Rattus norvegicus: one gene and its partner. The main gene of each other region encodes a partner of the protein of the gene in region 2 in a complex. Links are inferred from orthologs where the notes say so. Each region holds a gene or a part of one and is shown on either strand. Other genes may lie near its edges. The genes, in order: Tes and Actl7a.

Region 1 (3,825 bases), on a different chromosome or scaffold from region 2:
ATTCCATTTAAAGTGGTTTCCGGGGGCCTTACCATTGGCTCATCAGTTAAGAGAGCTTGTTGCACTTCCGGGGGGCCTGGGTTCTATTCTAAGCACCTACGTGGCAGCTCACAGTCATCCGTACCTCCATTCCTACGGGGTCTTTTGGCCTCTTCAGGCACCAGGGACACACATGTTACATGGCCATGTATGCAGGCAAAACACCCATACATGTAAATACTAAAATAAATAGATCTTTTAAAAAAAATGGTTTCACTACATGCTGCTAATCCACCCATGAGGCCCTTGACTTGCTATCTAGAGATTGCTGAGTGACTGTTTCCAAACATTTGTGGAACTGATCGAATACAGAGGAAATTGGCCTGTATATTTAGGTTGCCGTGTGGGACATTCAGGTGCTTAATGTGAGAGCATATTTTTATGACATCCATTGTGTTCCACAGAGCGCCTGCTGCTGCATGCTGGCCAAGAGATGGTAACGTAGATACACGGTGAAAAGATGACCATATATAGTCAGCTTATAAGCCTTCCTGGCTGATAATATCAGAAGGATGGGCTCCAGCGTTTTCTTAGTTTAAAGTTCCCTAAGCTATCGCATAGGGGAAACTCCTAGGAGAGGGGGAAAACAGTACCTGTGTATAGTTCTAAGAGTCCAGTACGTCTACAGAGAAATAAGCTTAGCTGTGTGCCCGTCTTCCGTCTTGACGCACTGCCTAATATTAAAACGAGCTGTCTTTATCTCACCAGTGCCGAAACAATGGGCTGCACATTATTTAATTCACTGTGTTAATCTGTGCAAAGATTTTGATATATATAAAAGAAGTGAAAGAGAAAACATGTTTAGACCCGGAGAAATGTCCTCAATCTAATCAGGGCATTTATGAGGTAAAAATCACCCGGAAGGAGGAGTGAGATGGGAAGAAACCCAGTTTGTCCCCATGTGCACACCAGACTCCCACTGGCCACCCAGGATTCGCATCTGTAAGGCTCTCAGGGTCCTCCAGCCAGAGAGCCCATGACGACACAGCATTATCTACCTCACATCCTGTGTTCAAATAAAAGAAAGCAGGAGGGATGGAAGGAACTGGCTCTTTGAGCTGTGTGAGGACTATTTCACAGGCAGTGCACTGCCAGGCACATTGCGATGAAAGGTATAGTCCCCAGGCAGGCCCTCTGTGGCATGTAGCTTTGAGCTTTGTGGATAAGCAAGGATCTGCTGGTGTTAGCTGGAGTCATATGTAAGATTCCTAGACGAATGGTGACCCACTGCAGTTGTGAAGCTAAACTGTATGGAACCATAAACCCTAAATGCAACACCATGCCATTTGTGTATCCGTGTGATTCTTTCTGACCTAAAGACTCCCCTCAATTTCACGTGCAATTGAATAACTGGTTTGTCTTCTTTCTTATACTAAAAATGAAAAGGCCATGTTTCATCTAATAATAAAATGATCCACAAATAATGTTACAAAACAGAAAGTAAAAAAGGAAAGCAAAGGGGTCCTCTGTCACACAGTTCTAAAGTGTCGGAAGACTAATACGAAGTACAGAAAACCAGAACATTCTACGTGAGCTATCGCACTACAGAAATTCCATGCAAAAGCAACCATTTGCATGATGCGGCTGCAGATTCAGGGGGAACTTAGAGCTTCCACATTGAATATTATTTGTATTCAGGACACCTATCTGCATTATGCAAAGAATGTCTGTTTCCCAGCCAGGAGGTAGTTGTTAGACCTGTAGATAGAGTCTCTACAATAAGAAGGTACGTAGCTGTAAAATATACAAAAAGTATATTTCAGGTCTGCAGTGGCTGTGTGATGCAGGTCACCTCATTGTCCAACAATGGCCGTCCCACTGCAGTAATCCCCAACCAAGAGACAAGTGGTACTTAAGGTTGATCAGTGCCACATGGTATTCCCTCAGCTGTTGTAAAACCAAGATCTTAGATGTTTCTCATTTTATTCAGGTCATATATAAACAATGCAAATGACTCTCCTGCGTTGAAGCTTTCCGTGAGGTGGTTTTCTGTTGTAATATTAATGGCTGCTTCTCGTTCTCTTCATGTGTATCATCAGTTAAGAATATTACGCGTATGTTTACCTCATTAGTATATTGGAGTATAACATACCCAGGATACTGAATGGTGGGCTAGGAATATACCACCTCCGTCAGTACTGTCCTGACACAATGTGCATGGTGTCCTGGGTTTCCTGCACAGCACTACCTAAATCACCCGGTATCACAGCCCTCGGGAGGCGGAGGGAGGAGAAGTATCACGAAGTTAGGTCCGGCCGAATACCTTCTCCCAGACAAAACAAAACAAAGGGTGCTGCAGGGAAGGGAGGTATTAAAGTTCATGGCATAGATCACAGATAAACGATGACTAAACTTAGGACAGAACAGAAGCTGATTAACTACACGTTATATTTATGGTGTGAACCCCTCATTCGTTTTCAAATACTGTCTGTACTTTTATTCAAATCCTTAATTATTTTGAGCATGACTTTAGTTTACTACTCTCTTGAAATTGGTGGGTGTTAACAGTCACCTGTGTCAGTGTCCTAGGCATGACACATCCTAGTGATGTTACCACTTCAGAGCGTTAATGAGTGCGGGAAAACAGTCTTAGAGATTCCTTCTAATTGTTTCGGTGAAATCTACTAAAATTTGACTGGAAACAAGTGCGGTGCTTTGGGATTTGCCATCATAACTTCCTATTTACACCCTGAGGGACATCTACGGACCGCACTCCCACCCTGTCCGTCACCTGCCATTTCTCGGCACACTCAGCATACAGGGCCCCGTCGGCACAGTGTCTCACAAAGATGTCGCTGTCTCTAACCCTCTTCTCCATTCATCCCCGAGCAGGTGTGTCAAGGGTGCCACAATGCCATCGACCCGGAAGTGCAGCGAGTGACGTACAATAACTTCAGCTGGCACGCGTCCACGGAGTGCTTCCTCTGCTCCTGCTGCAGCAAGTGCCTGATCGGGCAGAAGTTCATGCCTGTGGAAGGGATGGTTTTCTGTTCTGTGGAGTGTAAGAAGATGATGTCCTGAGTGAACACCAAGCAGTATTGAGCCATAGCTGTCTACAGTGGCCTGCATTTCATGATAAACTGCAGTTTAAAAAAAAAATAAAAAATAAAAGGAAAAAAAAAAGCTACATAACGAACCGGAAGATTTTGTCCAATATTTTTCTCTTTTTAACCATTATGAATTTTGTCTGTCTTATTTTTAAATGACTGCTTTAAGCGCATGATTTAAAAAAAACAGTAAAGAATTATAGCTTTTATTTCTGCACATTAAATATTTGAGTTGGAAGCTTGAATTTAATCAATCCTTATAACCGCATACTCCTAGTGCTAGATATATTATATATATATATATATATAAAATCACTTAAAATTAGTGTCCTGGGAGAGATGAACATTTTAACTTCCATGCTTGTCCCCCATGGGAAATGTAAAGGAAGTTACAACCGCCTGTCGAGCGGTTTGATGATGGTGACGTCAGCTCAGTGAGGAGTTCCTTGTGGCAGGCAGTGTGGTCCACGTTGGGTGTTCCAGTGCCTAAGCCTTTGCATCCCCCATGGAGGCAGAGGGGCCTCTCCCTCCTGCATCTCTCTCTGGTTACTTTACCTCTCAGTATCCTCTTTTGTCATCTAGCGACCTCCATCTGTGGCCTTGAATATTTTATATGTATGTGGTTAGGACAATATGTGCACTTTGCTCTTAGAGATTTTTTTTTTTTGTTTTTTTGTCCAGAAGATAAAAGTAGGCCATTCATTTAATTTTTTTGAAACCCAAAGAATATATAGGTTTT
Region 2 (3,332 bases):
GTCCCTTGACCGCTGCACCCTACCCTTCTCTGAGGGGCTCTGAAACCCTCAATGTCTTGAGGTCTGGTCTCTGGGGATCTCACTTGGACCTCCCGAAATATTATGATGTGTCCACCATATAAGGTCACTCGGGTATGGATTCAAGCCATAAAGTCTTTATTAACTGGCAACTAAACTGGGTGTTCAGGACCTGAGTGTAGTCCCAAAGTGCGAGCTTTTAAGCACAAAAGTCACATCCTGTGTTGATGCCTCAATTAGCAAGAATACTTAGCTGAGATACGGTGCTGCTTTTGCCGGAGAATAAACCCGTTTAGCATTCCGCAGGGTACTGTGGATGGAGAGCCTCTTTATCCTTCAACATCATTTACTCTTAATTTGTTTTGATGACATTTTTCCTTAAGTATATTTTAACAACAACGTTGTGGGAAGCACAACGGGCAGACTAATGTTAGAGCAAGTTTCTCCTGGGAGAGACTTTCTGAGCAGTTAGCATTCGTGCGTGTGATTCTTTCATACAGCCCTTCCACGCCCAGGCTTTCGCACTTTTTAAGACGATGCACGCATCCATGTGGCTCTTACTATGTCAGGAAATACGGACACACTCTGAAGGGAAGGGGACAGACACAAGGGGTTTTTAATGCTACAGAAATGAACATGCCAGCTTGACACCACGTGTGAAAGGTTCAGCCCTCGGACGGTAAAGCTAGCACATGGTCACCACAGCGTACGTGTTGCACCTGTTCAGAAGCACCTTCTGTAGAGGAAGAAAGGCCCATGTTCCTCGTATTCAAGGCGATGGACCCACAGTGGTTGAAAACCCTGGAGCGAGGCCAGGATAGAACCACCAGTCCAGACTGCGGTGTCTCTCTCGGGCAGCACATTTACCTGTGGGGTGTCGTTGGGACACATGCTGCTCAGTTCCTTCTGCAGACGGTTGGGGAAACCCCTGAGCATAGTGCTGCCCCCACAGAGCAGGATGTTCCCCATGAGGTCTCGTTTGAGTGCAATGTCACACTTGTTAAGGCAGGACACGGTTTGGGTGTGGAGGCCCAGCTGCATGGACTTGATTAGAGATGGCTTGAAGAACATCTCTGAGCAGAGGAACCTCTCCTGACCCAGACGGATCTCTTTCCCATCAGGCAGAGTATAATGGATCTCGTGTTCACTGGGAGGGATTTTCTTCTCTTCAATGGGGTCCAGGGCCACAAAGCAGCATTTCGTCTTGATGTCTTCCACAATACTAAGGTGGTCCTCAGAGAAGTGTTTTCCACAGTTGTTCATCAGGTTCATCAGGTAGTTCGTTAGGTCAGATCCCGCGTAGTCTAGCCTCCCTGTGATGCTGGGCAAAGGATAACCCTCATAGATGGGGACCACATAGGACACACCATGTCCGACCTCCACCACCAGGCCAGAGGTGCGTCCGTAGGAGTACATGGACAGGCGGGACTGGTAGGCGATGTGCATTGCAGGCGTGTTGAAGGTCTCAAACAGCATCTCGGCGTACTTCTCTCTGTTGGTGTGAGGACTCAGTGGTGGGTCTGAAACCAGGACCGCATGTTCCTCTGGGGCGATCTTCATCTCCTGTCGGAAGAGGTATTCCCAGATGTCCTGTACTGTGTCCCAGTCCACAATGATGCCATGACGCAGGGGGTTGACCAGTTTGAGATGTATATCTGGGTTAAAGAGCTCACGCCCCACAAAGGTCTCTTTGCGATTATCCCCAGTCTTGGCTGTCTCCATGTAGGGCTTGCCCACTGTTGTTGAGATCTTATGAGTGGGCTTTGGCAGGCCAGCAAAGCCACATTTACAGAAGCCAGTACCTAGGTCCACAACCACTGCTTTGGTCACCTCTAGCCTTGGCCTATCCTTGGACACAGCTGACTTAACAGGCTCTTCTTTCTCAGCATTGTCCCGACGGACCCATACTGCCCTCTTTGCTGGGCCATCTCTTAGGGAGGCAGTCTGGAGGACCTGTGTCTGCATGGAGGTCTGGTCACTAGCTTTCTTGGCAGGCCCGTCCCCGATGTTTGCTGTCTGTGGAGCCCACACAGCATCCAGAGACATACTGCTCTCAGAAAGCTCTCGATCCTGCTGGCTACAAGGCCTGAAAGGCTTAAATCAGAGGACAGCTTGAGAATCTGCCCAACAGTGACATCACTGATTGTGACATAATTCAGCAACCCAGGGCTTTCTAGACCCTGGAGAGTGGTGCTAGGGTACATTAGAGATACTGTCTTTCAAGTCCCACTCCCCAATTTTGTAGGAAAGATTGATTTGTTCATAGTGGTTGAGTGCCTGTGATATGCAAAGCACCTAGGAGTACCACAGTAAAAAGAGGAGCAACAGAATCCTGCCCTTATCTGGTCTGCATTCGAGTTGGTGTGCACGGGGGTCGGGTGGAGTGGGGGCGGGGAGAGCACAACATATTTATTGGTTGAACAAAAAATAAAATTTAGAAAAGTTTTTAGAGAAAAATCAGAGAAGAGAAAGAAAGGGGATGGGCCAAGCCGATGTGGTGTAGGCAAGCCTCCCTGAGCTGGCAGTAGTTGTGTAGGGAGCTGAAGGTGACCAGGTGACATGTGTTAGGGACGCAGTAGGTGCAGAGGACTAAGTCACGTGGCTGGTGAGTTAGTGCAGGGGCAAGCAGGACACAGCCAGCTCCAGCCCATGGCGGTGTATAAACCGATTGGAGTAGCCATACTCATGTCCCTTATGGATTGCCTGGGAGTCTGGCAAACAGTTGAATCAACATCACAAAGACTGGCCCAAAAGCTGAATGAAAATAAATGTGACTGGTCTCTGAGAGAACACGTTTGCTGACCCCAACTGAGAGAATTTGCAAGAAGGCCGATGTGACCATAGGAAAGAACGTGAAAGTTTAGATGGGGTGGGTGGGAAAAGTAAGCCTGGTGGGGACAAACAGGTCCTGTCAGGCGTGGGCTATTGTGAGGGCTTCACTCTAGGTGGGCAGGGTTAGAAAGCACTAGAGAAATTAGGACAGGTTGATACCATCTGAGTTAATTTTTACCGGGGTCTACTGTTGCTGTAGTAATTGACAGGCCCTGCTGCCTCACTTTTGGGTACTAAGGTGACGAGAACATAACCGTAAGAACTATTTTTGAACATAGGCTTGCAATCCTTCATTAGAGTCATAGAGTGTGCACTGAATCAGACGCCGCTCAGTCCCACAGTGGGAACATTAAGGCTCAGGTGTACAGACAATGTCCAGAAGAAGACAGCCTTCCTCAATGTCTTGCACACACATGTTGACACCTACCGTGTGTCTGAGGCTGCTTGACCATCTAACTCCAGCTGGATCCACTGGATCCCAT

What was found.
Region 1: the proteins of Actl7a (region 2) and Tes are in contact, whole or in part, in a crystal structure (PDB 2XQN), measured with the Homo sapiens proteins. The link is inferred for Rattus norvegicus from reciprocal best matches to the Homo sapiens genes ACTL7A and TES. Residues at the interface, in NP_006678.1 of Homo sapiens: Leu28, Gln29, Thr30, Ala31, Ser32, Leu33, Arg34, Asp35, Gly36, Pro37, Ala38, Lys39, Arg40, Ala41, Val42, Trp43, Val44, Arg45, His46; in NP_056456.1 of Homo sapiens: Asn311, Glu312, Tyr313, Thr314, Gln315, Ala316, Glu317, Leu323, Phe326, Leu335, Ala336, Gly337, Glu338, Ile339, Tyr340, Val341, Tyr353, Pro370, Glu371, Val372, Gln373, Arg374, Val375, Thr376, Tyr377, Ala384, Phe389, Leu398, Ile399, Gly400.

The regions. Positions count from the first base shown.
Region 1 is NC_086022.1:46,365,687-46,369,511, forward strand, and holds part of Tes (testin), read left to right. Parts: intron 1-2,871; coding exon 2,872-3,060; 3' UTR 3,061-3,825. UniProt on the Homo sapiens protein: Scaffold protein that may play a role in cell adhesion, cell spreading and in the reorganization of the actin cytoskeleton. Plays a role in the regulation of cell proliferation. May act as a tumor suppressor. Inhibits tumor cell growth.
Region 2 is NC_086023.1:76,242,920-76,246,251, reverse strand, and holds Actl7a (actin-like protein 7A), read right to left. Parts: upstream 2,081-3,332; 5' UTR 2,065-2,080; coding exon 742-2,064; 3' UTR 605-741; downstream 1-604. UniProt on the Homo sapiens protein: Essential for normal spermatogenesis and male fertility. Required for normal sperm head morphology, acroplaxome formation, acrosome attachment, and acrosome granule stability.